3 linked regions of the Anolis sagrei genome follow. The protein of the gene in region 2 purifies or fractionates together with the protein of the main gene of each other region. This does not show direct contact. Links are inferred from orthologs where the notes say so. Each region holds a gene or a part of one and is shown on either strand. Other genes may lie near its edges.

Region 1 (9,751 bases), on a different chromosome or scaffold from region 2:
ATAGGAGCCGATCAATTCAGCCTGACATTCTTTGAACCATTAACATTAATGGCAAATGAACTATTTTATGAAATTTGCATTGAAAATCACATACTTCTCATTTCTTCACACAGAACACAAATCTAAACAAGTTTTTACAAAAATCACTCTACCTTTCATATTTGAAGACCACATAAAATGGAGAAAAAGTCTGTTTGGAAGATTAAACATCTCTAGGTTCATTTGAAACTACATATTATTCACTATTGAATGCTCCCCTTAACTGGGTTGTTGTAAGTTTTTTCGGGCTGTATGGCCATGGTCTAGAGCAGGCATGGGGAACCTTCGGCCCTCCAGGTGTGGTGGACTTCAACTCCCACAATTCCTTGAGGCCAAGGTAAGCCTTTGGGGCGAATGCCGAGCCTCAAGGAATTGTGGGAGTTGAAGTCCACCACACCTGGAGGGCCGAAGGTTCCTGACCCCTGGTCTAGAGGCATTAACTTCCCTTAACTTCTAAATTCAAAACATATAAACAGAAAAATAACACTAACAATTATCTTACAAAACAAAACATTGAGGGCATTTTAATTGTACAAAATGCATAAGGTTGTGGCTGAACTACAACTCACATCATGCCAGGTTAACCCTAAGAACCTCCATCAGTACTTCAAGTTGGTTTGGTTGTGTTGGGCAAATTTGCTCTGGATGCATCATCAGTAAGGTTCAGTGTGCTCTCTGGCTGCAGGGTAAACTACAGCTCCCACTATGTTGAGTCAGTCCCCTCAAACCTCTCCAGTAGGCCGAGTTAGTCAAGGGGTGTGTCAAGTTTGGTCCAGATCCATCATCGGTGAAGGTCAGAGTTTCTCTGGTTGTGGGTTAACTACAACTCCCAGAAGGGAAGGTCAGTTTCCTCCAAAACCTTGCAGTAATCAAATTTTGGTATATCAGATATGTGTGCCAAGTTTGGTCCAGATCCATCAGTTTTTGGGTTCACAGTGCTTTCTGGATGTAGGTGAATGACAACTCCCCCAAATCAAGGTGAATTTCCCCCACAGACCTCCAGTATCTGGTCATGGAGCCTCTGTGGAGTTTGGTCCAATTCTATATCCTTGATTGCAGGTGAACTATGAATTCCAGTACCTCCAACTCCAAAATGTCCAGGCCAATTCCCCTCACAACCCACCAGTATTCCAATTTGGGCATATTGGGTATGCATGCCAAGTTTGGTCTAGATCCATCATTGTTTGGGTTCATAGTGCTCTCTGGATGTAGGTGAACTACAACTCCTATAAATCCCTCCAAAGACCTCCAGTATGTTTTTGTGATCATGGGGGTTCTGTGTGCCAAGTTAGTTCCAGGTCCATCACTGGTGGAGTTCAGACTGCTCTTAGAGTGCAGGTGAACTATACATCCCAGGACCTACAATTCCTATGAATCATAGTGAGTTCTCCCCAAACCTCTCTAGTATGTTCAGTTGCTGATCAATTCCTCTGTTTGCTGTATGCCATAGAAAAGAATAGGAAAGGGTTAAGGAAGAGGCAGTGGGCGGGATCATGCAAATTCCACACCGATGGAGAGAGTCAGAAATCTGGGATGTCTGCGGTGGAGGAAACGCATGAAATCAAGGATTGAAAGCCTTCACTTGGGTGGTGGGCAGTATGGTGTTTGTGGAGGACATTAGCAGGGCTCTTGTGCATGTTCATGGCGCTCACTATAACCTGCAATGTCACTGGGGGGGGGGGGGGGGCTTTGGTATTTCCTGAGCAGTGGGAGCTATATAAGCCCTGAGTCCCTATGGGGAGATAGAGTGGAATATAAATAAAGTATAATCATTATTACTATTATTATTGTGGAAGCAGGAGCCTGTCTGTGTCAGTAGACACCCCAGCCACACACACATACATATTTTAACTTTTATTATGTGTATAGATAGATAGATAGATAGATAGATAGATAGATAGATAGATAGACAGACAGACAGACAGACAGACAGACAGATAGAAAGATAGAGAGATAAGAATATACAATACTAATCTACTAACAGATAGACTTAAGTTATAGCTTTCAAAGAACAGTTTGGAAACAAAACTAACAGAAACATCCAAGAAAAATCTTCAAGCAGAAAAGGAAAGGATAACTAACTGGAATCAAAGATCCAGCATAAAAAGACATGGTTATTAGGTTTCAAGGACAGTAAGAACTCTCTATTACAGTGTGTCTCAAACTTCCTAATGCCGCGACCCCCAAACATAAAATTATTTTTGTTGCTAATTCATAACTAATTTTGCTTCTGTAATGGATTGTAATGTAAATATCTGATATGCAGGATGTATTTTCATTAAATGGACCTAATATGGCACAAATGCCCAATATACCCAAATTTGAATACTGGTGGGGTCAGGAGGGGGGGGGGGTTGTCATTTGGGAGTTGTAGTTGCTGGGATTTATAGTTAACCTACCATCAAAGCATTCTGAACTCCACCAAAGATGGCATTGGACCAAACTTGGCACACAGAACTCCCATGACCAACAGAAAATACTGGAAGGGTTTGGTGGGTATTGACCTTGAGTTTGGAGTTGTAGTCGCCTACATCCAGAGAGCACTGTGGATTCAAACAATGATAGAGCTGGACTAAACTTGACACAAATACTCAGTATGTCCAAATGTGAACACTGGTCGAGTTTGTGGAAAACAAACTTTGAAATTTGGGAGTTGTAGTTGCTTGGATTTATAGGTCACCTAAAATCAAAGAGCACTGATAGAATTGGGCCAAACTTCCCCCACAGAACTCCCATGGCCAACAGAAAATACTGTGTTTTCTTAGAGTTTTTGGTGACCCCTCTAACATCCCCTTGTGACCCCCCCAGGATGAGAAACGCTGCTCTAGTATATGGAAGATACCAAGGCTGAATCAAATCCCACCTTGTCTGCTTTGAACTAGAATATATGGCAGTGTGAAGTCAGATAACCCAGTTCAAAGCAGATATTGTGGGATTTTCTGCCTTGATATTCTGTGTTATAGGGCTGTGGGCTCTTCCACACAGCCTATATCCCAGGATATCATGGCAGAAAATCGCACAATATCTGCTTTGAACTGGGTTTTCTGAGTCTACATTCAGATAATGTGGGATTTTCTGCCTTGGTGTTAGAGGGCTGTGTGGAAGAGCTTATAGACTTTCCAAACAGTTTAGTAGTTTAAACAATGAATGTTAGGGTAATAGAGATGAAAATCTGAATGTAATACCATACAATGTTTTAAAGGTTCCTTAACTGCTCTCACCACCACCACCACTTTTCTTGATTATTTATTAGACATTTGTTAAATCTATTAAACTTATAAAATTAATAACAATATGAATAAATCCTAAATGTGTATGTGTGGGGGAGAGTCTTGGTGGTGGGTCCGTAAGTAGATCTAGATTAAAGGTAAAGGTAGTCCCCTGACATTAAGTCCAGTCATGTCTGACTCTGGGGTGTGGTGCTCATCTCCATTTCTAAGCCGAAGAGCCAGCGTTGTCCGTAGACACTCCAAGGTCATGTGGCCAGCATGACTGCATGGAGCGCCGTTACCTTCCCGCCGGAGCGGTACCTATTGATCTACTCACATTTGCATGTTTTCGAACTGCTAGGTTGGCAGAAGCTAGGGCTGACAGCGGAAGCTCACGCCGCTCCCCGGAATTGAACCTACGACCTTTCGATCAACAAGCTCAGCAGCTCAGTGCTTTAACCCACTGAGCCACCGGGGGCTCAGTGGGTTAAATCTAGATTAGATATAGATATTCCGTATTTACCCAGATCGAATGCTAATCTTTTGGGGCTACATAAAGTGATCTATTCTACAGCATAGATGCCCCAAGGTTTTTTTTCCCATTGCTGGAAGCTTTGGTATTGTAACCCGTTTGTTTTGAAAGAAGCAGGCAGCAACTCAAATGGCAGCATGACAAAGAGGACACTTTTGGCCACTTTCTTTGTGCATGACATTGGGCAGCAGAGACTTTTTGGTGTCAGGAGGTGCAGTTAGGCCCCTTCCACAGCTTGACAAAATCCACCTTGAACTGGATGATATGGTAGTGTGGACTCAGGGCCCTTCCACACACTCATATAACCCAGAATATCAAGGCAGATAATCCACAATATCTGTTTTGGACTGGGTTATCTGAGTCCACACTGCCAGATCATCCAGTTCAAGGTACATTTTATCCAGCTATGGAAGGGGCCTGAGTTATTCGAGGCCCCTCCCACACAGCTGAATAAAATCGACATTGAACTGGATTATATGGCAGTGTGGATTCAAATAACCCAGTCCAAAACAGATATTGTGGATTATCTGACTTGATATTCTGGGTTATATGGCTGTGTGGAAGTGCTCTGGGTTATCTAAGGGCCCTTCCACACAGCCCTATATCCCAGAATATCAAGGCAGTAAATCCCACAATATCTGCTTTGAACTGGGTTATCTGAGTCCACACTCAGATAATGTGGGATTATCTGCCTTGATATTCTGTGATACAAGGCTGTGTGGAAGGGCCCTGTGTTATCTGAGTCCACACTGCCAAATAACCCAGTACAAAGCAGAGAATGGGGGAATTTTATCCAGCTATGTGGAAGACGCTTGTGTGCATGGGAGACCCCCCCAACCCGCAAAGCCAGTTGCAGGCTCCACGCATGCGCTGCCTTTCTCCTCGAGGGAGGGAGGGGAGTTCACGTGACCCGGAAGCGGGGCCCCTGCCCGGCTGAGGCGACGAAAGCGGCGGAGGAGGGAGGGGCCATGCTGGAGGGGGCGGAGCGTCTTTCTTCGCTTTCTTCTTCTTTCCCGCCCAAAAGCAGGCCAGAGGCTCCTCCCCCTCCTCTGAGGAGAAGAAGAAAGAGGAGGAGGCGGGCAGAGCAAGGGAGACCGGCCATGGCCCTCAAGCAGAGTATCACCACGCCAGCTTCGGCAACTGGAGCAGCGTCCCCCGCGCCTTCGCCGCCGCCTCCTCAGCAGCAGCAGCAACAACAGCAACAAGCGGCACCCAGCCCGCCTCCGCCTCCCCCCCCACCTCCTCCCCCGCCACAAGGCTCGGCGGGCGGCAGCGGGGGAAGGAAAGCCCCCGGCGGAGCAGGCCTCGGCGGAGGAGCAGGCCGCGCCGCCCTCGGCAGGTGAGGCCTTCCCCTCTTACCTCCCCTCCCCGCCCTCGCGTTGTCCCTCCCCCAGACTTTGGAGCCAAGCGGCCTGGGCCCCGAGCCGGGCCCTTCCTTGGGGTGGGGTCGCCTCAGCCCCTCCGCCCCTTTCCTGCGCCATGAGAGGAATCCGGAGGGGGAGGAGGAGGAGGAGAAGGCAACTCTTCGGTAGCCTGCGTTGAGTGTATTATTGAGGCGCCGCCGCCGCAGTCTTGTGACCGGCCGACCTCTCTCGCTCGCGCTCCTCTTTCCGCCACGGAGGCCCCTTCCCCACAGCTGAATCAAATCCCACCGTGTCTGCTTTGAACTGGAATATATGGCCGTGTGGACTTAGATAACCCAGTTCAAACAAGAAATTGTGGCATTCTCTGCCTTGATATTCTAGGTTGTAGGGCTGTGTAGAAGGGCCCTGAGCAAATGGGCGCCTGCTTCCTTCTCAGCAAAAGGGACCGACTCCCAAGAGGTCCCACGAGCACGGCTTGGGTTCTTTTTCGATCCCTCCACCGTTTTATTTTCGATCGTGTTATTTTAGTCTTGCTTTATATTCTCATTAATGTCTTTAATGTCTTATTGTCTCTTCTTTGTATTTTTATTTGATGTTATATGGTATTCTGTTCTGATTTAATATTTAATAATTTATTTATATTTTTATTTCATTTTGTGTTTTATTTTTTTTAATTTATATTATATTATCCATATTGCGTTATATATATATATATATATATCACTATTATCTATAATTATGATATATTTTCTTATATGATATTGTTATATTTTATATTTTATTCTTTTTAATATTTTTATGTTATATTACTATGTCATATTATTTTATATTATATGATATTGTTATTGTATTCTAGTTTGTATTTGTTTCTATTTTATGTCTGTATTATATTAATACCTTTTTATTTTGTATTTTTATTAAATTATTATCTTTTATATTCTTTTTGTTCTATTTTATATTTTTGTTTTGTTATATTATGTGATATTATTTTATTATATGATACTGTTATTATATTTTACATTTTTTTATTTTGTATTTCTATTATATAGTCTATTTTATATTCTTTTTATGATAAGATATGATAGTGTATTTTATGTTCTCTATTTTTTATTACTATGATGATGACATTGTTGTTATTGTTATTGTTAATATTTGAACTGCCCCCTCCACCTGTGTCTCTCTTTCTCCCTCGGCAGGAGAAGGGTCACTTGTGCTCTAGTGGCAGCTATAATAACAGCAATAATAATAATAATAGGAAACGTATTAACCAACTCTCATTGTGGCTGAAAATTCTGTTTGGCGAGAGGGGGGAGCAAAAAGGAGGGATCTGGGGATTGTATGAAAGGAGCCTTTTCTTGTAAGGGGCTTTCTGCCCAGGATCCCAAGGCAATCACAAAATCAGAAAAAAACAAGAGAGAATGCTGGGCAAAAGGAGGACCCAGAGGAAGTGCAGGATTAAAAATAAAGGTCTTTTCCTTTTATTGATGTCTGCCCCCCATCCCTCCACCACCCGAATCGGACCACTGTACAAAGAATGGGGAACGCCCGCCTCCTGGCTTCCCCCTTTCCTCCCTTCTCAACATTGCATCAGAAACCCCTCTGGTTTGACAAGGGAGGTAGGAAGTAGAGGTAGGGCTCAGGTGGGGAGGGGGGCTTTGGGGTTGCTGCCTGGGGAGTGGGGAAAAGGTGAGCTGAGGCGTCCCTTCCCAAAAGGAGGGAGAATATTTTGTTAGAGGAGGATGGGCTGTCATCCTCGAAAAATGTTTGACCAATCCAGCGTTAACCTTGACCTGGGATCTTTACGGTGTTGGGAGGAAAAGGATGGGGGTGACATACTTTGAGGGGGAGGCACATGGCTTCCTTAAGGCTTTGTGCATGCCTCAATAGAATACGGAGATTCCAGGATGCAGCAAGTGGTCTTCACCTGGAGGAGCAAAGCAGCCTCTTGGAGGGGGATGGAGGGAGTGGGCAGAGCATGGCACCCAGCAGAGGCAGGCAGGGAGACTTGTGGTGCCTTGGCAGAAGGGAGGAGGATCCCTCTCCTGCAAGAGGGCCTTAGGGAGGAGGGAGAAGCAAGGGGGGCAGAATCCACTTGGGGCTGCTTCATAGCAGGCATTTGGGATGGGGAAGCGGCATATTGTCATGGTGCTGGGGGGAAACAGACAAGGACTTTCTGTGCGGTATCTCTGCCTGTAAGAAGTTGTATGAATGGGGAAATAGGGCATGGGTAAGGGCACTCCTGTCCAAGGCCTGGGCTGCTGCAGAGGGATTCCAGGTCTGGGGTAAGCCAGAGAGGAGGGAAACTTTTGAGCTGGTTCTTTGCCTGGACGTCCTGTGGGTGACCATTGGGACAGAGCAGAATTGTATGACCCTCCCAATGCTGGGGTATTATAGGTCTCAGCAGCCCTGGTGAGTAATGCTGAGGCTTGCGGGTGAGGGCAATCTGCAGGATCAGTCTGGAGACTGAGGGGGATTTCCGACCTTCAGGGTTAGGTAAGGAGCAAATGGAGGCCATGCCGAAGGCACCTTGGCAAATGTGGTTGCACCAGTCCAAGCCTGTCTTTCCTTCCTGCAGTCTTGAATGCAGAATAGCATTCTCTGTCTCAGTCCCTTAACCAACCCCCTTTCCATGGCACTGGGCAGTGTACTCCTACTTGGTCTCCTTGTCTAAATCAAAGGCCCCCTCCAACAGTGCTCTCTTGGAGAAGAAGAGTGAAGGTTATCTCTTCTCTGGAAGATGCAGGGTTTGAATCTCCGCTGGTCAGACTGGGATATACATTCTGTACTATACATTCTGTACTGTGGCTTGTTTGTTGAGGGGGCTGGAGGTTTTACACAGTTTAAATACCCTTGAGATAAATAGTTGTGTGTGCGTTAATAATAACACTATGCAGAGGACCATAATAAGTTGTCATGATATAGGACCCGAAACTGTATTGCCTGCAGGAGGCAACAGCACTTGGAACCAAGTAATGCCCTATATTATTTATGGAAGAGCAAAGATACATTTGCATAGCTGTAGCTTGGGTTGCCTAGATGTGCATGTGGTTGATATTTTTCATGGCGCAGGGTTCTCCTTTCTTGTTTTTTGTACGGAGAGGCCCCCATCCTGTCCTCTATGGCTGCAATCTCTGAAGAACCCTCACTTAGAAGTGAGCCCTGCCAGGCTGATCCCTGAGTAAACGTTCTGGAAGACTTAGGCTTGAAGAGAAGGTTTGCTTGAAATGGGTAGGGTGCCATTGTTTTTAGCCCTCCCTTCTGGCTACTCTGCTCCTGGAATTGGGGCATCTTCCTGTCGGGCACGCTGTGGGAGGCCGGAGCTATATTGCATGCGTAGGCTGCGTATTGCAGTGGCAATGTGTGACAAGTGCTTCAGAGCCCTGCTCCTCCATTGGCAGTCACTGGGCCCAGTCCATTGCTGGTTTCCAGGAAAGAAAGACATTGATGGTCTGGAGGGGCACTGAAGGAGGTCCGGTTACTGGCAGGTTGCAAAACAATTGCAATTATCTTCTTGGACAATTGTCTTGTCCAGTCCATAGCTCAGGAGTACATTTTCCCACATAAACCGACCTTTACCCAGGTTTTATCCTGCTCTATGAAGCACCTCCGTCTAGTATAGTTGGGAATGGAGCACATGAAGCTCAGAGAAAGAGGAAGACTAAAATGCAGGATCGTTTTCTCTCTTCCTCTATCATTTAAATGAGTGAGGTTTTGACTGCAGCTTGCTAAACCATAAATTGCTTACCAAGGTGAAAAATCAAATCCTTTGGGTGCCTCATCTCTAGATGGCTACTTCTTCAGAAGATGGAGACCAGTGGCATCAGCCCTGCATGCAAGAGCTTCAGAAATGCTTCCCACTGGGTTCCCAGTGTGCTTTACTCCAAGATAATAATGTATTTTGGTTTCAAGGAGTGTATCCAATTTGAATCCACATTTGAGTGAACTGTATACAGAATTTGTGGAATTAGATTATTAGCTTTTAGAAAACTGATGGGGGAAATATGATTGGAAAGGAATGCGATTGTAAGACTTGCTTGGTGTTGTTTCTCTTCTGCCTCCATTTACTACTAAAATTTTAATGTGACAAAATTATTCGTAATAGCTAAAGCTGAGCAGATTGTTCCTATTATGGGGGTCAGTCACAGGTGAATGCTTTTAGTGGAAAAAAGTGAAAATATTCACATCTGTTGTGAATCAGGTGTCAACACAGAGGCATAGAGCCCCTATTTCAAAATGAATTGGGTTTCTCAAACCAATTTACGTTCTCTGGATGAGGCATTCTGGATGCTGATCCATCTCAACCATTGCAATAGGCATTCTGAATGCATCTTTGCTGTATAAATGCTGAAAAAGAGCCATTGAGATAGGTGACTACTCCACACAAGCTCTGGAATACCTTTTACAACTCTTAAGAAAAGACACTCACTTATTGTACATTCTAACCCTGTTGAGCAGATCATCCTGCTGCTTTCTGTTTTGAAATGGTTTTTTGTGTGACACATGAACAAACCATTCATTTGTAGACAACAGAATTGAATATGTACTACTGCTGGTACAGCACGAAATGGACATACCTGCTGTGCTTGCCTTGATCAATATTTCCTCCA
Region 2 (10,828 bases):
TATGTACTGTTAGACTATATTATTTGTATCATTATTATTATCTCACTTTCTCTCTCTTAAAAGAGTTTAACAATGTTAAAAACAATACAATGTACAAATTAAAGCCTAAAACATATAAACACTAAAATAAATTAAGCACACGATTATTACAATAGTTAAAACAATTAAAATTATTTTAAAATATTGAAATATGTAGATAAGACACTACACAGCACCTCCTGACTTGGTCTTTAAAACTTTCTTCATTAAAAGCCTGCCTGAATATAAAGGTTTTAGCCTGCTGCCAAAAGAATAGCAGATTTTGGCATCATGGCTTGAACTTTGTTATTTTAAGCTGAATATTTTAAACTTCTGAGAGTTTCTCCTTTTTGAAACACAGGAAGATGACAGAGAGAAACTATAACTACATTGGTTTGCTGCGAGTCTTCTGGTCTGTATTGCCATGTTCCAGAAGCATTTTCTTTTGACATTTCGCCCACATCTATGGCAGGCATCCATGCCATAGATGTGGCAGGATGCCTGCCATAGATATGGGCAAAACATCAGCAGAGAGTGCTTCTGGAACATGGCCATACAGACCAGAAGACTCAAAGCAACCCAGTGTTTCCGGCCATGAAACCTTCAACAACACATAACTACATTGTTGGATGCTTATTTATTTATTTATTTTATTTCAAACATTTATATCCCACTCTTCTCACCCCGGAAGGGGGACTCAGGGCAGCTTACAACCAGTAATCATTAGATGCCATACAAACAATAGCAATAAAATCACAATTAAAGTATTAACTAAACAGTAGATTAAAATATTCATTTAAAAGTTAACAAATCCAAGTCCAAATCCACATTCAAACTCATAGTCAATGGAATAATATGCATTATTATTGCTGTGTTTGTTGCTCGAATGCTTGGTCCTATAACTATGATTTAAGCTTTTTTCTAAAGGACAGAAGAGAAGGGACCAACCCGATTTCACTGGGGAGTGTGTTTCACAGATGGGGGGCCACCACAGAGAAGGCCGTCTCTTGTCCCCACCAGTCGCGCTTGCGAGGGTGGTGGGATCGAGAGCAGGGCCTCCTCCGATGAACTTAAGGTGGGGTGGATGAGGTGGATCATAGAGGGAGATATTTTCGGACAAGTAAGTTGGGCCAGAACTGTATAGGGCTTTAGAGGTGCATCTATAAAGAATATTTAAGAGTAAGGGTGCATCTGTACTGTAGAATTAATTCAGTTCAAGGTTCCTTTAACTGCAATGGATCAATGCTATGTAATTTTTGGAGTTGTAGTTTGATGAGGCACCAGCACTATTTGACAAAGAAACTACAGCTCCCAGGATTCCATAGAATTGAGACATGGCAGTCTGAAATGGAATAAAATTGAAGTAATGTACTGTAGTGGAGATGTCCCTTAATTAGTATTGTTGAAATATTCCTGACATGTGGCATCTGTTCTCCATTCTGGCCTTGCACATAATAAATCAATGTGTTTGGCCTGCAACGTTCATAGTTCCTCATCTTTGGCTGCTGAAGCTGGAACTTAAGAGATAAATATGGTTTGTAAGATGACATTGGTGACTACATGTTTTAATGGTTTTTATATATGTTTTAATATTGTTATATTGACTGTTTTTAATTGCACTTTTATGAATGCATGGCATCGAATCGTGCCAATCTGTAACCTGCCTTGAGTTGCCATATGGTTGAGAAAGGCGGGTTATAAATGTCGTAAATAAATAAATATCACCTCTTATGGGAAGAAAGGTGGCCTGCCATGTTGGTTTGAGTGTCTCATTTTAAAATGCCTGATAATATATGCATGCATTTAGAGATAAATAAATTTGTTTTACTTTAAATCTCACAATTTTAAAAATAGCTTTTTTAAAGGTGCTGAATTTTGGTAAAAGTGTGTATAAATGTGAACATCATTCTTCTCACTCCCATATATTTCAAATTTCCTGATTTTTTTGTAAGATAATTTACAGTGAATTATTTTCTTAAACCTCTCTGAGTTGGATCTCGGGATAGAGTGTATGTATTGGCTAATATAGTTTGGATTAATAAATTGAAGTTAGAATTAGATTTATACATGCAGACTCTTTTGTTCTCTTTTCTTGGCACACAGCAATTCTAGAAATCTTCTCGAAATATATTGTTGTCTCAAATGATATGTTCTCATTACAACAACTAATCTTGAACTAATCTACCCAAGAAAACCCTGTAATAGGATCGCTTCACAGTCACTGTAAGTTAGAAATCACTTTAAGGCACTATAATTATGTAGGGCAAATGAGCCCTAAATTACATTAAGCTAGGCTGGTTTTTTTTTTAAAAAAGGAGTGTGGTGTTGTGGTTTGAGTGTTAAACTACAGCTATGGAGACCAGGGTCTGAATCTCTGCTGTGCCATGGGAACCCACTGGGTCACATTCTCTCAACCTCAGAGGAAGACAAAACAGTAAGATGAGGTGTGCCAAACTAATTTTCATTAAGAGTCACATCTGCCTTATGGTTGCCTTCAAAGGGTAATTGAATCCACGGAAGGAGAATCCATGGATACAGAGAGCCAACTATCTATCTATCTATCTATCTATCTATAACATATTACATAGTGGTTTCTGCTCTTTAGTTTAAACCCCAGATGTTACTGAACGACAACTCCCATCACTTTTGATCATCTGCCATGCAGACTGGGGATAATGGGAATTGCAACCCAACCGCTCTTGTGTCTCTTGTGTCTCTGAGGTTGGGGAAAGGTTAAAAATACTTTAAAGTCAAGCAACATACCTATAAGCCTTGTATCTAAATCTAAGCCCAGAATAAGTAGAACAAATTGCAGCCTTCCAGATGTTACTGTATCACAACTCCATCATCTCTAGTCATGTCTAATGAGGAATGCAGATGTCGTCCAGCATCTGGAAGGCCACAAAAAATGACATGGTGGGCCAGATTCGGGCCTTGAGTTTGACACATGTGCCTGATAGCAAATCCCATGAGTGGGTCCCTATATGTTGGAAATGACCCAAAGGCACACAATAAGGAGGCAGGTGCCATCTACTGGCGTTTCTTCATTGTTTGTGCACAGCCAGAAATGCTACTACCATCCAGGAATAGTTATAAAGATTGAATGTCCCTTATCTGGAATTCTGAAATCCAAAATTGTTCACACAGATGGCTGCGATAGCAACACCCTTGCTTTCTGATGGTTTAATGCACGCACACAGTTTGTTTCATACACAAAATAATTCCATATATTGTGTTGAAAATGACCGTCAGACAATGTGTGAGGCACATAAATGAATTTTGTGTTTAGACTTGAGTCTTATCTCCTTCCAGTATTCCAAATTCCGAAATTTTGAACTTTTTTGGTCCCCAACATTTCAAATTCAGGATGCTCAACGTGTATTAGTTTAGTTTGAGAAATGCTGCTTAGGCCTTGCGCACTAGATTCTGCAGCACTGGTATTACAGCAGTAGTCTACATTGTTGAATTAATAATAATAATAATAATAATAATAATCTTTATTGATACCCCGCCACCATCTCCCCAAAGGGGACTTGGGGCGGCTTACATGAGGCCAAGCCCGGTAGTGCAATTACAATATCATAACAACAACATAATACAAAAACATGAAATAAACATCGCAAAAGATAAATAAAGCAAAAAAAATATTTTTTTTAAAGCAAAAATAATACAGAGAAAAATCAAACACGATCATAGTGAGCGGGCCACATGTACAGGTAATGATAAAATTCAGGATGAGGTAGAAATAAAAACAGGTATATTTGTAAGAGAGAAACTCATAAATGACGGAGTAATGGAGACAGGCCTTCATAACGGCAGGAATCTGCAGAATGTGGAGGAACATTAAGTGGGGAGTGACAGCGGGAAATGTGAAATCACTCTCCAAAGTTTCTAGGGTGGGGGCTTGCCTAATCTCAACGGGCAATGAATTCCAGGGTTGGGGGGGGGGGGGGTGCACAGAGGAGAAAGCTCTCTCCCGAAAAGTGAAGAGGTCGGGCAGGTTTGTGGACGGAGATACGGTCGCGAAGGTAGGTGGGTCCCCAAACCGTTTAGGGCTTTGTAGATGATCTGCACCTTGAATTGGAACTGGAAAATAAATGGCAGCCAATTGAGCTCCTTAAACAGGGGGGTTGACCACTCCCTGTAATTTGCCCCCGTTATTAAGCTGGCTGCCGAGCTTTGGACCAGTTGTAGTTCAAGGGTAGCCCCATGTAGAGTGTGTTGTAGTAGTCCAATCTAGAGGTAACTAAGGTGTGGACCACCGTGGTCAAGTCCGACTTCACGAGGTATGGTCGTGAATTGTGCAAAGGCCCTCCCGGCCACCGCTGACACTTGCGCAAGTGTCAACGCCAAGTCCAGGAGGACCCCCAAGCTGCGGACCTGTGACTTCAGGGGGAGTGCAACCCCGTCCAGCACAGGTTGCCACCCAATACCCTGATCAGATGTGCAACTGACTTGGAGGACCTCTGTTTGTCGGGATTAATCTTCAGCTTGTTCGTCCTCATTCAGCTCGACACAGCCGCCAGGCACTGGTCCAGTATCTGAGGGGCTTCCTTGGAATCTGGTGGAAATGAGTAGTGGAGTTGGGGGTCATTTGCGTAGAGGTGGCACCGCACTCCAAAACTCCGGATGACCTCTCCCAACGGTTTCATGCAGATGTTGAATAGCATGGGAGACAAAATTGAACCTTGTGGGACCCCACAGGTCAAAGACCAGGGGTCCGAGCAGGTGTCCCCCCAGCATCACTAACTGGGAATGTAGGTTGACACCATGTTTAACTGCATAGATCAATGCTGTAGTATTCTTGGATCTGTAGTTTGGTGAGGCACCTGCATTCTTTGGCAGAAAAGGCTAATTATTATTTTTCGTAAAAACTACAGCTCCTGGTCCACAACATTGAGCCGTGGCAGTTTAAATGATATCAAACTGAATTAATTATCCCGTATAGATGCACCCATCATTCATTGCTCTCATCCAACAGCTAACTGGCCACCATTCTCAGGATTTCAAGTTTCCATTTTGTGTGCAAAAATAACAACACCGGCCCTCTTCAGAGTCAACAAAGGTTGCTTTCTATTTAAGGCTGCAGAGCAAGGCCCTATCTACACTGCCATAGAGTGAAGTTTCAAACTGCATTATACAAGTCAAACCTTATTTTATTTATTTACGATATTTATATGCCACCCTTCTCACCCCGAAGGGGACTCAGAGTGGCTTACAAGTTATATGTAAATACAATATATTATATTATTAGCATAACACAATATGAGTACCATACCATACATTCCCATATTGCACTACACCACTGTACTGTAATATTATTAGTAATATTACATGTAATATGAAATATATAATTATTTTGTATTATTAGTAGTATTATATTGCATTACTTTATAATATTATTATCAATATTAATCATAGAATCAAAAAGTTGGAAGAGACCTCATGGGCCATCCAGTCCAACCCCATTCTGCCAAGAAGCAGGAATATTGCATTCAAATCACCCCTGACAGATGGCCATCCAGCCTCTGTTTAAAAGCTTCCAAAGAAGGAGCCTCCACCACACTCCGGGGCAGAGAGTTCCACTGCTGAACGGCTCTCACAGTCAGGAAGTTCTTCCTCGTGTTCAGATGGAATCTCCTCTCTTGTAGTTTGAATAGTATACAATATATTAGCACAGCACAATATTAGTATTATATTTTAGTATTATATGAGTCAACACGGAGCATATAATTCAGTTTGAAGCGGCATCGTGTGAATTAAACTGCATTATATGAATCGACTGACTATATATGGCAGCTTTCAACATTGTATGGCAGTGTAAATGGGGTCGAAGGCACATGCTGGAACGTATCGTTTCCCAAAACGAAACGCCTGAAGTAGTTTGTCCCTCATCCCACGTCGTCGGCGCTATTCCTTTCAGGCCCCGTGCTTTACAACGTGGTTTCCCCGCAGAGAGAAAGAACAGCGAGAAAAGTCTTTTGCGGGCTGTCCTTTAGAGTGCCTGACAGAAAACCCCTGTTTCACGCTGAAGTATACTCTCGGCGTTAAGAAGAAAAAGACATCCCAGGGTGTACACGATGTGTAAAAAAAGAGGGAGCAGCATCCCGCTGGCTGGAGACGCAGAGAGAAGGATATACTTTTTCCAAAACGCAGGCGCCTAGCTTGGCCACCCTCCCCTCAAGTCCGGGGTGAGAGGTGAGGCGGGGAGGTCCTTCCCTCTCTCCTCGCCCTTCCCCCACCGGCTGACATGCCAACCCAGCAGTCGGCGGCGTAGCAGCTGCGCGGAAGGTGGGCGCCGGGGCCCGTGTGGGGGCCGAGGGAGGGGGGAGCCCCAGGCAGCCCAGGGGAAAGGGAAGGGGCCGCCCTCTCAGGCGACGCAGGGGCTGCTCGCCTTGTGGGCCAGGGCAGGAAACCCTCTGAAAAGTATGGGCTCGCCATGAGTCGACAGGCCTCTGGGAGGGGGCCCGAAGGTGGAGGCCGCACTAGGCCTTTCCCCACCGGGAAATGGGAAAGATGCCCAAGAGTGAGGGAGTTGGGAGGCTTAGCTTGGAGAAAAGAAGGTTTGAGAGAAGGGAGAGCCATGTTTGAATAGTTGAAAGGATGCCACACTGAGGCAGAGGGAGCAGGCTTGTTCCCCTGCTGCTCCAGAGGCTGGGGGCATCTACATTGTGGTTTGGCCCCACTTTAACTGCCTTGGCGCAATGCCATGGGATCCCAGGGGACTGTAGTTTGGTGAGACACCAACTCTCTCTGGAAGGCCCCCACAATGATATAGCATTAAGCCATGGCTGTTAAAGTGGCACTGCACTGCGTTAACTTGACAATGTAGATGCGTGGGACCCAGAGCAGCCGGCTCAAAATGCAGGAACGACATTCAGCCTAAACCAGGGATCTTCAAACTGTGACCCTCCAGCTCAGGCATGGGCAAACTTGGGGCCTCCAGGTGTTTTGGCCTTCATCTCCCACAATTTCTAACAGTTGGCAGGACTTGAAGCACAGGCTAAAGCAGGCATGGGCAGACTTCGACCCTCCAGGTGTTTTGGGCTTCAACGCCCACAATTCCTAAACAGCTAGCAGGACTTGAAGCACAGGCTAAAGCTGTCATGGACAAACTTTGGCCCTCCAGGTGTTTTGGGCTTCATCGCCCACAATTCCTATCAGCAGGCAGGACTTGAAGCACAGGCTAAAGCAGGCACGGGCAGACTTTGACCCTCCAGGTGTTTTGGGCTTCAACTCCCACAACTCCTAACAGCCGGCAGGACTTGAAGCACAGGCTAAAGCAGACATGGACAAACTTTGGCCCTCCAGGTGTTTTGGGCTTCAACTCCCAAAATTCCTAATGGCCGGCAGGACTTGAAGCACAGGCTAAAGCAGGCATGGGCAAACTTTGGCCCTCCAGGTGTTTTGGGCTTCAACTCCCAAAATTCCTAATGGCCGGCAGGACTTGAAGCACAGGCTAAAGCAGGCATGGGCAAACTTTGGCCCTCCAGGTGTTTTGGGCTTCAACTCCCACAATTCCTAACAGCTGGCAGGACTTGAAGCACAGGCTAAAGCAGGCATGGGCAAACTTCAACCCTCCAAGAGTTTTGGGCTTCAACTCTCACAATTCCTAACAGCTGTTAGGAATTGTAGGAATTGAAGTCCAAAAACACCTGGAGGGCCAGAGTTTGCCCATGCCTACTTCAGCTGTTTTTGCCCTCCAGCACCCAGAAGCCCAAGCCAGATTGTTCAGTAGTCAGGAATTCTGGGAATCGGAGACCCAAACAGCTGGACAGCTACAGTTTGAGTTCTGACGTCTGACCTAAACAGAATTTCCTGGCTCTTACACCTGTTTGGCAGTAGATTGTACTGTCTTGAAGTATGGTGGAGTCTCCTTCTCTGGAGTTTTACGCAGAGGCTAGATGGCTATGTATCAGGAGTGCTTTGTGCATTGCAGGAGCTTTGGCTGGATGTAGTATCTTCCCACTTTATAATTCTGTGATTCTAGGATGGGTGGCAGTGGACAAGGGACCCAGTTGTACAAGGTACCCTTCCTGGGCTCTATGCTAGCATGTAGGTAGCCATGCATTTCTCCCAAGCAATTCTAATTTGGCTTTGTTTTTGCTGATTCTAGTTTCCAGCTTCTGTTTATTTTTCTGTTGGATTCTTTCTGAAGCTCCAGAATGGAGTTCGAGCTCATGGAGAATGATATTCTGGAATCACTTGAAGACCTAGGGTATGTATGAGTGAAAATGACTGTTCAGCTTTGAAAACAATGTTCTTTTTCCAGTGCACACTTTTATCCACAGATTTAATATCTGCAGTTTTAATATCCACAGTTTCAGTGTTTGTGGGCCTCTCCAGATCCTCCAATGCAATTCTATGCCCTGCTTTCCTCCCTAGTATTGTTAAAATATAGAGTTTGCTATTACCCAAGGTTTCAGCTGTCTGTGGGGCTGGGAGTATTTTGGAACATAGTCTTCATGAATGTGGTGGCTGTACTGTATTCTTACCTGTTTTGCCAGGCTTTGCAGTTTGTATTTTTGTATAGATGTTATGTTTCAGGTATATAATCACTGTTGGTTCATTGAAGTACAGGTGAAAGGGATTCTGTTGTTTAAGAAAATGAAAATATCTTCAGGTCATTCTTAGCAAGATGAGGTCCAGAACATATAAAGGCATTTTGGCTGTAAGAACAGAATAATAAAGCTGAATCAGATCAGAGATATCCTTTTCTAGCGTTCTATTCAAACAGTGCAGAGCAGTTGTCATAAAATGACATAAGAATGACAGCATCTCTTTCATAGCTAATTCAAAAACAATCATTGGTCCAGTTTATTCTTTATTCTCATTCGTTTCCTTAACCTCCATAGTTATGGAATAGATTTGAAGAAAGGGGAAATAAATATAATCATTTTAATGCCCCTTTCAACTTCCGGCACTAAGTTTATCAGCAAGGCCCATGAGGTCTCTTCCAACTCTTTGATTCTATGATTCTATAAGGATTTCAGACCAGTGCTATGCCCTAGCAAAAGTGGAAAAATTGACTATGCATGACATCTGTCAGTGATTTATTGTCTAGCACCATGGATGAAACTCACAGTTTAAAATAGTATTTTTAAAGTAATTGGGCTTTTTCCTTCATGCTCCTTGTTTTTTTATTAGCTGAATTCCCTTTACTAGTCATTGCATAGAAGCCTTTAGCCTTTTTAGTAATGTTGTAATATTTCAATTCTATGCTGTAGAGAAATTAGTTTCTAGCTTCTTTCTTTATTTTGAAATGTATGGTTATCTATGCATATCAGTGCACATGAGGAATGTTCACACAGAACCTAGTAGAGGCAAACAGCTGTTACAAAAGTAGAACAATATTAACAGTAAGCAGATGGGAGGTTAAAGGAGAATTATTCATGTTTGCTGTTACTTACAAAAATGGCTAGGTTAGCCCTCCAGTTAGCCGTGAAAGCTACATTGGTTTCATTTTCTTAAGAAGTTCATAAAAACTGTTTTTTTTTTCTTCTAAAAGAGTTTAGATATTGATGTAAGGGCAGTTTTCTACTTGTTAATTATCACAGGACAGGCTAATTTATTCCTGCATTGGATGAATAATGGAGGAGCTGAGGTACTCATTGCTGATGATCATATATGTATAGAGACTAAAAGGTTACTGATAAGTAGGCTGCAGTATGGAAAAGGGCAGAAATTCTTGGTCTGGACCAGTCAGTTGATCCAAAGTGCAAATCACACAATTGATCCATTTCTTTCATTAAATAAATAGTTGTCTTCAGGTATCAAATCAAAATTATTTTAGAGTTAGTTTAGGATTTCTATGTGGGTCAAACCGAACTGATATTATATTAATAAGTGCTTTTCAAGTTAGATCACCTTAATGTAATCTCCCAGTTTGGTGAAAATTCATCCTGCTGTATTTGCACAATGTGGAAACAAATATAAACTTAATTTGGTTTATATGTGTATATACTGTGCATATGCAGCAATTGGTTTTACTTATTGCAGATACTAGTTAATAATACAGTGTGAATAATCAGAACTGATATCACATGTTTTAACTTGGGTTTCTAAAATATGATTTAAAAGAATGTATCTTCCAGTAAACACCAATTTTAGAAAAGGATCCAAAGAAGTATTGGGAAAAAGTAATTTGGAGTATTAGCCAAAGAAATGAGTGAACAACGGGGCATTGTTTGGAGGGGAAAGTTATTTTTAAAATTGGACAAAACTACTGTTGTACCAAAAATAATTGTTGTTCTGGCTCTGTAAGCACATTTACATCATGTCTTTTAGATTCTGTTGTTCTCATATGAAGACAAAAACATTTACAATGAGACATTTGTTTAGTTCTGTATTGCATCCTGAACTTAGAAAAGTTGTTTTTTATGGATTGTAAGTTCCAGGATCTCCAAGGTAGCCTGGTCACAAATGGATTCTTGTCCCAAATAACTAATACTATAAATGTTTCTTGCAGGCAGGAACATTGAAGAAAGGAGAAAAAGAGTGTATAGGCAGTCCCGAGTTACAATCATCTGACTTACAAACAACTCATAGTTAAGAACAGGGCTGAGAGAACAGGAAGTGAGAGACATCTACCCCTCAGAAGAGAAATTCACTCCTGAAATGTGCCTGTTTCAACTTACAAACAAACCTGCAGAATCTGTCTTGTTTGTAACATGGGGACTGCTTGTATTAAGAATTTCAGACAGGAGATATAGGATGGAGTGGGAAGGACACTGATAAAGAGCGTGAAGAAAGGATAAAGCTGCATATTATTTAACTCTGCTTTGATGAGGTTTAGGCTTCAGTTCCTAGC
Region 3 (10,507 bases), on a different chromosome or scaffold from region 2:
GTGTTTTGTCATACTGGTAACTGGATTTTTTTCATTTTCATGGTTTAAAGATTGTAGGATGTGTTCCTTCATTAGCTTCCCTATACTGTCATTATTTATTATCGTGTTGGAACCGAATCGAGAGTTTAAATGTATTTAAAACCACAAACAAAGTTAAAAACATAATACTAAATTTTCTTTGACCGGAAGCTGGCCACTTCGAGTGCCTCTGGTGTCACTGTCAGGTCCTCCCTTGTGCATGTGACAGGGCTCAGACTGCATTGTAGTAAGTGGTCTGTGGTTTGTTCTTCTTCACATTTACATGTCATGGACTCCACTTTCTAGCCCCATTTCACAAGGTTGGCTCTGTATCTCACGGTGCCAGAATGCAGTCTGTTCAGCGCCTTCCAAGTTGCCCAATCTTGTGTGTGCCTAGGGGGCAGTTTCTCATCCAGACTCAGCCACTGATTGAAGTTCTGGGCTTTAGCCTGCCACTTTTGGATTCTCACTTGCTGAGGTGTTCCTGCAAGTATCTTTGTAGATTTTTGAAAGCTATTTCTTAATTTAAGACTTTGGCATGCTGGCTGATATCTGAACAGAGGATGGGCTGGAGATGTCAATGCCTCAGTCCTTTCATTACTGGCTGCTACTTCCCAACGGGTATCAGGTGTGCAATACCAGGAAAAGAAAAGGTCTGAGGCTATTAGGTATTGTGGCAGTTGAAGTCCAAAACACCCGGAGGGCCAAAGTTTGCCTATGACTGGGCTAAACACTTCCCGTTTGTTTGTAAGACTATTTTCCCTCTAGGTAGGTCTACTGCAGTGGTTCCCAACCTGTGGTCTGTGGACCACCAGTGGTCCCCAAGAATGAAAATATGGTCCATGCCTTATTACTACACTGTTTCCTTGAAACCACACAGCAATGAGAGCGACTGGTCTTGCGGAATCCTCTTATAGTGCCAAGGCAATGGGGATGTCAGGAGAGGAGAGGCTGACTACCCACAAAAGATTACTACTACCACATCAGCTCGAAATTGTTAAATATGGTTTTCTGTGGGTGAGCAGATGGGGACTACTGTATGGCAAATATTCTGTATAAGAAACTAGAGCTGATGTGATCTATCCAATGCAATTTTCCAAATCAGCATCCCAAATATTCAAACCGAATCTAAAGTTGGTCAAAAACTGATTTCTAACCCTTTAGGTCCTAATGTTGTAGAGCAGTGGTTCTCAACCTGTGGGTCCCCAGGTGTTTTGGCCTACAACTCCCAGGAATCCCAGTCAGTTTACCAGCTGTTAGGATTTCTGGGAGATGAAGTCCAAAAACATCTGGGGACCCCAGGTTGAGAACCACTGTTGTAGAGTGATCCCTGATCAAAAAAAGGTTGGAAACCACTGCTGTACAATGTTGAATCAAGGCAGTTTGACACCACTTCAACTGCTGTGGATCAATGCTATGGAATCCTGGGAGTTGTAGTTTTACAAGGTTGTAGAGTGGTCCCTGGTCAAAGTGGTCCCTGTCCAAAAAAAAAAGTTAGGAACCACTCATCTACTGTATATGATGCAGCTGTGAACAAGTCTACATGAGGACCACCAAATGCAACTGCAAAGCTACTCGATTACTAATCAAGCTGCCTAATAGCAACAGTCACACTTGCCTCAAACAGAGTTCTTTCCTGCAAAGTGGACATTCCACAGATATATATACACATCCCACTTGCTTCATTCCCCCAAACCTCTAAGGATGTTTGCCATATTCAAATAAATAAATAGGTATGGGCCAATGTGGGCCTTCCAAATGTTTTGGACTTCAACAATACAACCGGTAGTCCCTACGTCTGGCATGGGGAAACCTGGGCCCGCCGGGTGTTTTGGACTTCAACTTCCACAATTCCTAACACATTCAGGCCCTTTCCTTTCCCCGCTCAGCAGCTTAAGCAGAGTTGAAGTCCAAAACACATTTATTTACTATTTATTATTTACTATATTTATATACCATCCCTCTCTGCCTGCAGGTGACTCGAGACGGTTTACAGTTGGTACCAAGACCATAAAATACAATTTCAATATAATAAAACAATAGAATAATAAAACCATGACAGAATCAATAAAAATACGTATCATTAGGGTCTCCTCATTAAAAACATTGTCCAGTCACATTGTCATTCATTCCATTTTCCTATGTCTGTTACTCTGTATTTGCAAATGCCTACTCAAAGAACCAAGTTTTAACTCTCTTCCAAAATGTTAAAAGGGAGGGGGCCGATCTGATGTCCTTAGGGAGGGCGTTCCATAGCCGAGAGGCCACCACTGAGAAGGCCCTGTCTCTCGTCCCCGCCAACTGTGCTTGTGACAAAGGCGAGACCAAGAGCAGGGCCTCTCCAGACGATCTTAAAGTCCTGAGAGGTTCATAGTATGCTTAACCCAAAACATACTATGCTTAAGCGACTGAAGGGGAAAAGGAAAGAGCCAGAGGCTGTTGGGAATTGTGAGAGTTGAAGTTAGCCCATGTCTGATTATTGCTTGTTGTTTAATATTGCTTTAACTGTTTTTAATTTGCTTTAGGTTTTGTATTGTTATGTTGTGTTTTGAGGCCTTGGCCTTTGTAAGCCGCATCGAGTCCTTCGGGAGATGCTAGCGGGGTACAAATAAAGTTAATAATAATAATAATAACTTCTTTTGAAAATGCATTTCAAATGTATTGCAGAGCCTTGTTCTACAAGACTTGGGTGAGTCTATTATGATGCAACAGAGATCAGTAACATATGTGTAACTTACATGGGAGTTAAAGTCCAAAGCACCTAAAGCAGTGGTTCTCAACCTGGGGTCCCCAGATGTTTTTGGCCCACAACTCCCAGAAATCTCAGCCAGTTTATCAGCTGTTAGGATTTCTGGGAATTGTAGGCCAGAAACATCTGGGGACCCCAGGTTGAGAACCAGGCATGTAGCCGCGGGGGGGGGGGGGGGGCTTTGGTGGCTTCCCCCCCCCCCCAAATTCTCATGGTGGTCCGCGAAAAGGCCTTCCTGGTACATTATTTAAACTGTTATGTTTATTCATATCATGATATGATCACCATGCTCAATATATCCCATATGCATGGGGGTATTGGGGTAATGATACAAAAGTATTGCTGAAGGCTTTCATGGCTGGAATCACTAGGTTCTTGTAGGTTTTTTCGGGCTATAGGGCCATGTTCTAGAGGCATTTCTCCTGACGAAACGTGCAGGCGAAACGTCAGGAGAAAAGCCTCTAGAACATGGCCCTATAGCCCGAAAAAACCTACAAGAACCTAATGATACAAAAGGTTTGCTAGGGCAGACCCTCTTTCACTCAGACTCAGCCCCCCCCCCCACCCCCCGGAAACAAAATCCTGGCTAGGGGCCTGTTGAGAACCACTGAAAAGGGCCTGACATAGATGCTACTGGGACATGGCCATAAAGCCTGAAAACCTCACACCAACCCTGCCTGTCTTCCATTTCTGCAAGGGGAGCCCCCCTCCATGTTGTCCCCCTCCCTCGCCCTGGGGCGGGGCACCCCATTGGCTAGAGCGCAGCCCAATCAGCGCCCGGAAATTCGGGCCTCCGCTTATCAGGGCCGCACACTCCTTTGGTCCCGCCCTCCTCCCCGCGGCCTGGCCAAGTCCTCTCTTCAACCCCTCACTGCGCGTCCACGCACCTCCCTCCCTCCCTGTACCCAAATTCCCCGGATGTAACATTAAAGTGATACCCACCTCGTCCCGCTTCCTCCCGGGGTCCCTCCTCCACCTCCTCCTCCGCTCCCGGGGGGCGCCACAGTGGCAACCCGGGCTCCCCCCGCGGCGCCGGGGCTGAGGCTGCCGTTGGGGCTGGCGGGCGGCGGGTTGGCCTTCCGTGAGGCGGCGGCGACGGTAGCCGAAGAGGTGCCGGCGGCTGCGAGGGGCGGCGTGGGCACGGAGGCCGGCGCCGGGCCCGAAGCCGGAGGGGCGGGTTGCGGTGAGGGCGGCGGCAGCGGCTGCTTCAACATGGCGGACGCCACAGGCTCAGCTTCCCGAGCCCGCCCGCCTGCCTGGCTTGCCTGCCTGAGCACAGGCGCACAGGAGGCCGTTGAGGCCTAGGATTCCCTTGAGGAGGTTCGAATTGAACCCGGAAGGGGAAGCCGGCCGGCGAAGGAGTTCCCTAGCTGACTGACTGACAGACAGACAAGACAGCGAGGGTGGTCACAAACGAGGGTTCTTAAAGGAGGAGGAGGAAGAGAACCTCAATCGACTCCCGCCCTTCGTTAGCCTAGGCCTTAGCGCGCGCGCGAGCGACTCACTGACTGACTGACTTCCCTGCTTGCCTTCTCTCAGAGCGTCGGGAGCGCGCTCGTTCCTTCGCTTTTTCAACGTAGGCCTCGAGGCCAAGGAACGGGTTTTTACGCTTGCTCGCGCGCGAGCGAGCGACGCGTCCTCTGATTGGTCGCCTGGCCCTGCCCTTTTTTTGTCGCGGGGGGGGAGGGGGGAAGGAGAGAGAAAGGAGAGAAGTTCTAAGGCTCGCGCTCCCTCTCTCTTTCTCGAGCGCGCGCGCTTCAGCCAATCAAGAGGCCGCGAGGAAGAGGCTCAAACCCGCGCAGGTGGGGGTTGGGGGAGGAGGGGGAAAGTCAGCCGTGTGCGCACGCGCAAAAGGAGGAAGTCAAAGCGAGAGAGAGAGAGAGAGAGGGGCGGGGGGAAGAGTGGTGATGTTGGCGCTGAGGGAGAAGAAGCCAACCCCCCTTTTTTTCCCCTTTCCCGACGCGAAACGGTTCCAAACCCCTTTTTTGTTTTCCGTCGAGCCGGGTTGTAGAGGTGGTTATTTTTTTGTTTTGTCCTCCCCCTCTTTTTTCCCCCCCTCTTTTAAGGAAAAAAGGGAAGTAGTACAGGATCCCGCTGGCGCCCGCGCGGACGAGAAGGAGTCAATCCGGTTGCTGCACAATGAGTCCCTGGTGGAAGGAGGGGCTTCGCGATTGCGCATGCGCCGAGAGAGGGCGCGCGCGCTCCCTCTCTCCCTCGGCCCCTCCTCCTTCTCCCGCGCGCGCACACGCACGCTCTCTACGTCTCCCTCTCTCCCTCGGCCCCTCCTCCCTCCTCCTCCCTACGTCTCCCACTAGCGCTTCCTCCCTCCGACCAATGTGTAGGATCGGGTTCCTGGCTGCGGGGGCGGGGGGGAAAGGGAAAGGAGGCGTTCCTCCGGTAAGGGCCCCCACTACACATGCGCAAGAGGAAACAAAGACCCAGGCCTGCCTCGTTATCGCCTGTTCGGAGTGCGCAGGCGCGGGACCCCGAGAGAGAGGGAAGTGGGAACGCCGCGCTTGCGCACAAACCTGCCGGGAGGGAGGGATAAGCCTTTGGGAGCCTCGCAGTGCGCATGGCTAGGGGGGCGTGGCCTCCTGCCAAGGCGCTGAAGCCCCGGATGTCGCTGGAAGGCCGTTGACCCCGTGTGACCCCAGTTCTTCAATGTCACGCGGGTTGCGCCGTAGCCACCTCAAGGACAACGCCACCCCTTCTTTGTATTTAGATTCGTAGTTATAATGTGTTATAGAGTACATTTTTAACAAATATGAGTATGTTACAGTACAGATAATAAGATTAGATCTGTAATAATGGGGAAAACACATTTTTTGTTAGAGAATTTCAGTTGCTTCCGCCTCAGCTGCTTAAGCCCTGGTGTTTTGGACTTGGGCCCTTCCAGATGTTTTGGACTTCAACCCCCACAATTTCTAACAGCCTCAGGCCCTTTCCTTTTCCCTCTCAGCCGCTTAATTATTTTATTTATTTATTCGGCAGTTTTGTAGTCTTCTCACCTCCATTCGAGGGACTCGGGCCGGTTTCCAACATCAATATTACAGACCGTCATTAAAACATCATATTTCTAAATCACACTAAAACATTGAAACAATTAAAATGTCAAAAATACAATCATGATTACAGTGGTCAGTCGTCATCAAAGTCATTATTAGTCGTCATCCATCCATATCACAGGATCATGGCTCATTCGTTGAATGCCAATCCCCAAAGCCAGGTTTTCACCTGTTTCCTGAACGTTAAGATCGAAGAGGCAGTTCTGATCTCCAGTGGAAGGGAGTTCCAGAGTCGAGGAGCCACCACCGAGAAGGGCCCCTCCAGATGATCTTAGTAATCTTGATGGCTCATAGGGGAGGATACATTCGGACAGGTAAATTGGGCCGGAGTCGTTTAGGGCTTTATAGGTTAAGACCAGCACTTTGAATTGTGCTCGGAAGCTGACTGGCAGCCAGTGGAGCTGGCGCAACAGAGGAGTAGTATGCTCCCTGTACCCCGCTCCCGTTAGTAACCTGGCTGCCGCACGTTGGACTAATTGAAGCTTAGTCTTCAGAGGCAACCCCACGTAGAGAGCGTTGCAGTAATCTAATCGGGATGTAACCAAAGCGTGGACCACCGTGGCCAAGTCAGACTTCCCAAGGTACGGGTGCAGCTGGCGCACGAGTTTTAATTGTGAAAAACCTCCCCTGACCACTGCCGAAACCTGGGGCTCCAGGCTCAGCGATGAGTCCAGGATCACTCCCAAGCTGCGAACCTGCGCCTTCAGGGGGAGTGTGCCCCCGTCAAGCACAGGCTGTAACCCTATGCCCTGTTCGGCCTTTCGACTGACCAGGAGTACCTCTGTCTTGTCAGGATTAAGTTTCAATCTGTTGTCCCTCATCCAGTCCATTATAGCGACCAAGCACTGGTTCAGGACTTAAGCGGCTGAGGGGGAAAAGGAAGGGGCCTGAGGCTGGTAGGAACTGTGAGAGTTGAAGCCCAAAACACCAGGAGGAAAGCTGAAGTTTGCCCATGCCTGATCCAGATTATCAAAGCAGATAATATTATTATTAAACTTTATTTATACCCCGCCACCATCTTCCCGAAGGGGACTCAGGGCAGCTAATATGAGGTCAAGCCAAGAATTACAGTACAATAAAATAAAATGCTAATAATAACAACAAAATTAAATAACAGAAAATGATATAAACAGATGCAAAACACAGTGATGAAGAAATAAAATAAAAGCACGGTGGGTGGGCTAAATGCACAGAATAAGACTGATAAAACCCTGGGAGAGATAAGTAAATGGAGAAATATGATGCTAAGGAAAATGGAAGGAAAAAAGGAAGAGGGGCCGACCAAGGGCAAGATGGATGGATGGCATCCTTGAAGTGACTGGCTTGACTCTGAAGGAGCTGGGGGTGGTGACAGCTGATAGGGAGCTCTGGCGTTGGCTGGTCCATGAGGTAACGAAGAGTCGGAAGCGACTGAATGAATTAACAACATGTGTCTGTGGGGGAGCTCAGAAGGGGCGAACAGTGGGATTGAGCCTTCATTAAAGACAAGGGAAAGTGGGACGGAAATGATGGAAGAGCCAGGTTTTTAGATCTTTCTTAAAGGCTGCCAGGGTGGGGGGCTTGCCTAATCTCACAAGGTGGCGAATTTCAAAGCTGAGGGGCCACAATGGAGAAGGCTCTCTCCCGCGTCCCCACAAGCCGCACTTGTGATGGAGATGGGAGCGAGAAGAGGGCCTCCCCCAAGGATTGAAGAGATTGCGCAGGATTGTAAAAGGAAATGCGGTCACGAAGGTAGTTGGGTCCCAAACCAGGGCTTTGTAGGTGATTAATGGCAACCAATTCAGTTCCTTAAACGGGGGTAGACAGCTCCCTGTAATTCACTCCTGATAGCAGTCTGGCTTCTAATCCACACTATCTGCTTTGAACTGGACTATATGGCAGTGCAGTCTAAGATAATCCACTCAAATCAGAGAATGTGGATTTTCTGCTTTGATAACGTGGATTAGAATGGGCATGAGAATTTGAATCCATTGCTGCATTGTAGTCTAGTCTCTGGAGCAGCAAAAACAAGTTTGCCCCTTTTCACATATTTATGCATGGCTTGGCTTGGCTTGTTTGTGCTGAAAATGAAGTTGATTTTGGGAGGCTTCCAAGATTTAAAATATTCAAAGGAAATAGTATTGGGTAGGTTTTGATTCTTAAGTTTTTGGTGCGGGCCATGCCTGCACGTCGGATATCAACAAATTTGATACAACTTACAAAGACTAACAAAAAATTGCACACCCTTAATAGCTATCATGTCTTCTCTCAATTTTCTATTCTGAAGGCTAAATATATTCAGCTTTTTAAGCCGCTCCCCTTACAGCATGTTTTTTAGATCTCTTATCATTCTAGTTGCCCTTCTCAGGATTACTTGACCACATCCTTCTCTAATTGTGGTACCCAGAAAAGGACATAGTATTCCAGGTGAGGTGTGAACAAGGCAGGATAGAGCTATTACTTCCCTTGATCTAGTATACCTCTCTTGATGCAGCTTAGAATTGCATTCCAGGTAGATTCAGTTAAGGAAGTTAGTCCTGCATTTGCAAGCCTGAAGCAGGATCACTGGTAAGGGTGACTTGGAGGTCTCTCATTGATAGGGTCACCGTAAATCAAAGTTGACTTAAGGCAGTTAACAACAACAAATTCTTTCCTGACAGGCGAATTCTTCTTCCTCCTCCTCCTCCTCCTCCTCCTCTTCTTCTTCTTTTCTTTTCTTTTCTAGGATATTTTATGATATATTTTAACAGAAAATTGCAATAAAGATTTTTTTTAAAAAAAGATGTTTTTAATAGGAGGCTAGTGCTGCAATCCTATATGTATATAACATGTGAATAAACCTTACCCAAAACAAAAACTTATGTGTAAATATATGTCTGGAAGAGGCTATGATTCTGACAGGTAAAAGTGTTAGTGAATTTAATTAATTCTGGTAAATGCTGCAGATGAACACTACTTGAGATGAAAATAATATTCAAGAATATTCACAACATTATTGAAAATAAGTTTCTTAAGGTTTGGAAAGGGGACACCAAGGTGGGAGAGATTCTGTGCAAAAAAAAAAAAAAGCAAGCATAGTCACACGCCTCGAAGTAAGGCAAGTGCAAAGCCCCTCTGAACAAATTCTTCCATGAAAACCCTGTGATAGGCCCACCATTGGGTCATCATAAGTCAGAAACAACTTGAAGACACATAAGAGCAGAGATCCTGCTATAGATAGTTTATGTGACAACTTGGTAGCTGAAGAATATAGCAGTGGCTGGGAGAAAATTGGAACAATGACCAACTGTTACAATACTATCATTTTCCCATGTTTCCTCTTAAATCATCCCTTCTTATCTGGAAAAATGTAATCAATATAAACATGGAGAAAACACCAATTATTCAAAATTAAGGACTTTAAAAAAAGGCAAGAAACATTGCCTCTACATATACTCCGGACTAAACAGCAAAATGTTGTCTTGAATTGACTCTTAAGAAATAGCCACGTACCTTTCTAAAATCTCAATGGAAACGAATTGGAAGAGTGCACACATAATGTGGGATGTGTAAACCTCCAATATTCCCAAAAGGTGATACATCTGAAATGTATGATTGGCTAATTAATATTAAATATCCTAGAAACAATGCTATAAAAACTGTCTGGAAAACAGATCTCATAATTACTACATTTTGGATGAAAGCTGGCACAAAGGTGGACATCTTTCTAAGAATCTAAAGGCAATGTGTAGGTGTCCTACCAAGCTAGCCAAAATTTGTTGTGGGCGAAATTGTATCCTCCTCTATCTTTGGCTAGAATTTTAGAGCGTTAAAAGTATTTTGATATACAGAACCATTAATGCTTAAAAGCAATATCGGTCAGAAGACAGAATTCAATGGCCCATTATTATTGCAATCACTCTTTACTGGTAATAATAAAAGTCTGCCACATTAAGATTTACTAGTGATTCTAATAGCTATAGCTAGATCACAAACTAATGACATCTTAAAAGGTTTAACCACAAATGCCCATCTGAACAGCATATGAACAGTTGTACTTAATGAAAAATTGGCATATTGCCTGTGAGCTTTAAAAATGAAAACCAATAGAGGACAAATTTATATGTACATGGTATGTTTGTCATACATCAACAAAGACTCTTACCATTGTTTTTAATAAGATTACTTGTCGTTCTATCTGCAATTTATATCCCACTCTTCTCACAGCATGAGATTCAAGGTGGAATGAACTCGCCTGACTGGTAAGCAGTTCAACATCTTGTCATTTTCCTGCAATAGGACTGTCCAGCATTCATGTACTACACATCCCAATAAACTAGTACATAACACTGAACCAAAAACAATTCCAAAATAAACTCAGGAAAGATACCACTTACAATGCATTGACTAAAAATATTAAATTACTATGTTGCTCACTTCTATTATAGTTTCTATTTGTTCATTAAAAAAAAACGTAAAATATAAAAGGTGGGAGCTTGAACAATACAACTGCCTTTATTTCTGCATATATTATCACAGATATTCATATCCCAGTTGCTTTGCTTGTGGTGTGGGAAGAGGGCACCTCGGCCCAGGGGGCCATAAGGATCAACAGTGTTGGCCTCAAGCAGGCCTTAATTGTTTGGTAGTCCTGCTATGTGGAGACGCTAAAGGACAGCTGTAGCTAAAGGACAGTCGTAGCTTCCCCTTCTGTATA

Evidence for each region. The genes of interacting proteins can lie anywhere in the genome.
Region 1: the proteins of FAM98A (region 2) and ATXN2 purify together in Homo sapiens (co-immunoprecipitation; 3 studies listed by BioGRID and IntAct, counting the BioPlex papers as one, with this or other methods). This does not show direct contact. The link is inferred for Anolis sagrei from reciprocal best matches to the Homo sapiens genes FAM98A and ATXN2.
Region 3: the proteins of FAM98A (region 2) and ATXN2L purify together in Homo sapiens (co-immunoprecipitation; 3 studies listed by BioGRID and IntAct, with this or other methods). This does not show direct contact. The link is inferred for Anolis sagrei from reciprocal best matches to the Homo sapiens genes FAM98A and ATXN2L.

The regions. Positions count from the first base shown.
Region 1 is NC_090034.1:30,793,311-30,803,061, forward strand, and holds the start of ATXN2 (ataxin-2), read left to right. Parts: upstream 1-4,804; 5' UTR 4,805-4,880; coding exon 4,881-5,119; intron 5,120-9,751. UniProt on the Homo sapiens protein: Involved in EGFR trafficking, acting as negative regulator of endocytic EGFR internalization at the plasma membrane.
Region 2 is NC_090021.1:50,028,358-50,039,185, forward strand, and holds the start of FAM98A (protein FAM98A), read left to right. Parts: upstream 1-6,203; 5' UTR 6,204-6,309; intron 6,310-8,134; 5' UTR 8,135-8,183; coding exon 8,184-8,236; intron 8,237-10,828. UniProt on the Homo sapiens protein: Positively stimulates PRMT1-induced protein arginine methylation. Involved in skeletal homeostasis. Positively regulates lysosome peripheral distribution and ruffled border formation in osteoclasts.
Region 3 is NC_090026.1:22,716,122-22,726,628, forward strand, and holds the start of ATXN2L (ataxin-2-like protein), read right to left. Parts: upstream 4,948-10,507; 5' UTR 3,982-4,947; coding exon 3,710-3,981; intron 1-3,709. UniProt on the Homo sapiens protein: Involved in the regulation of stress granule and P-body formation.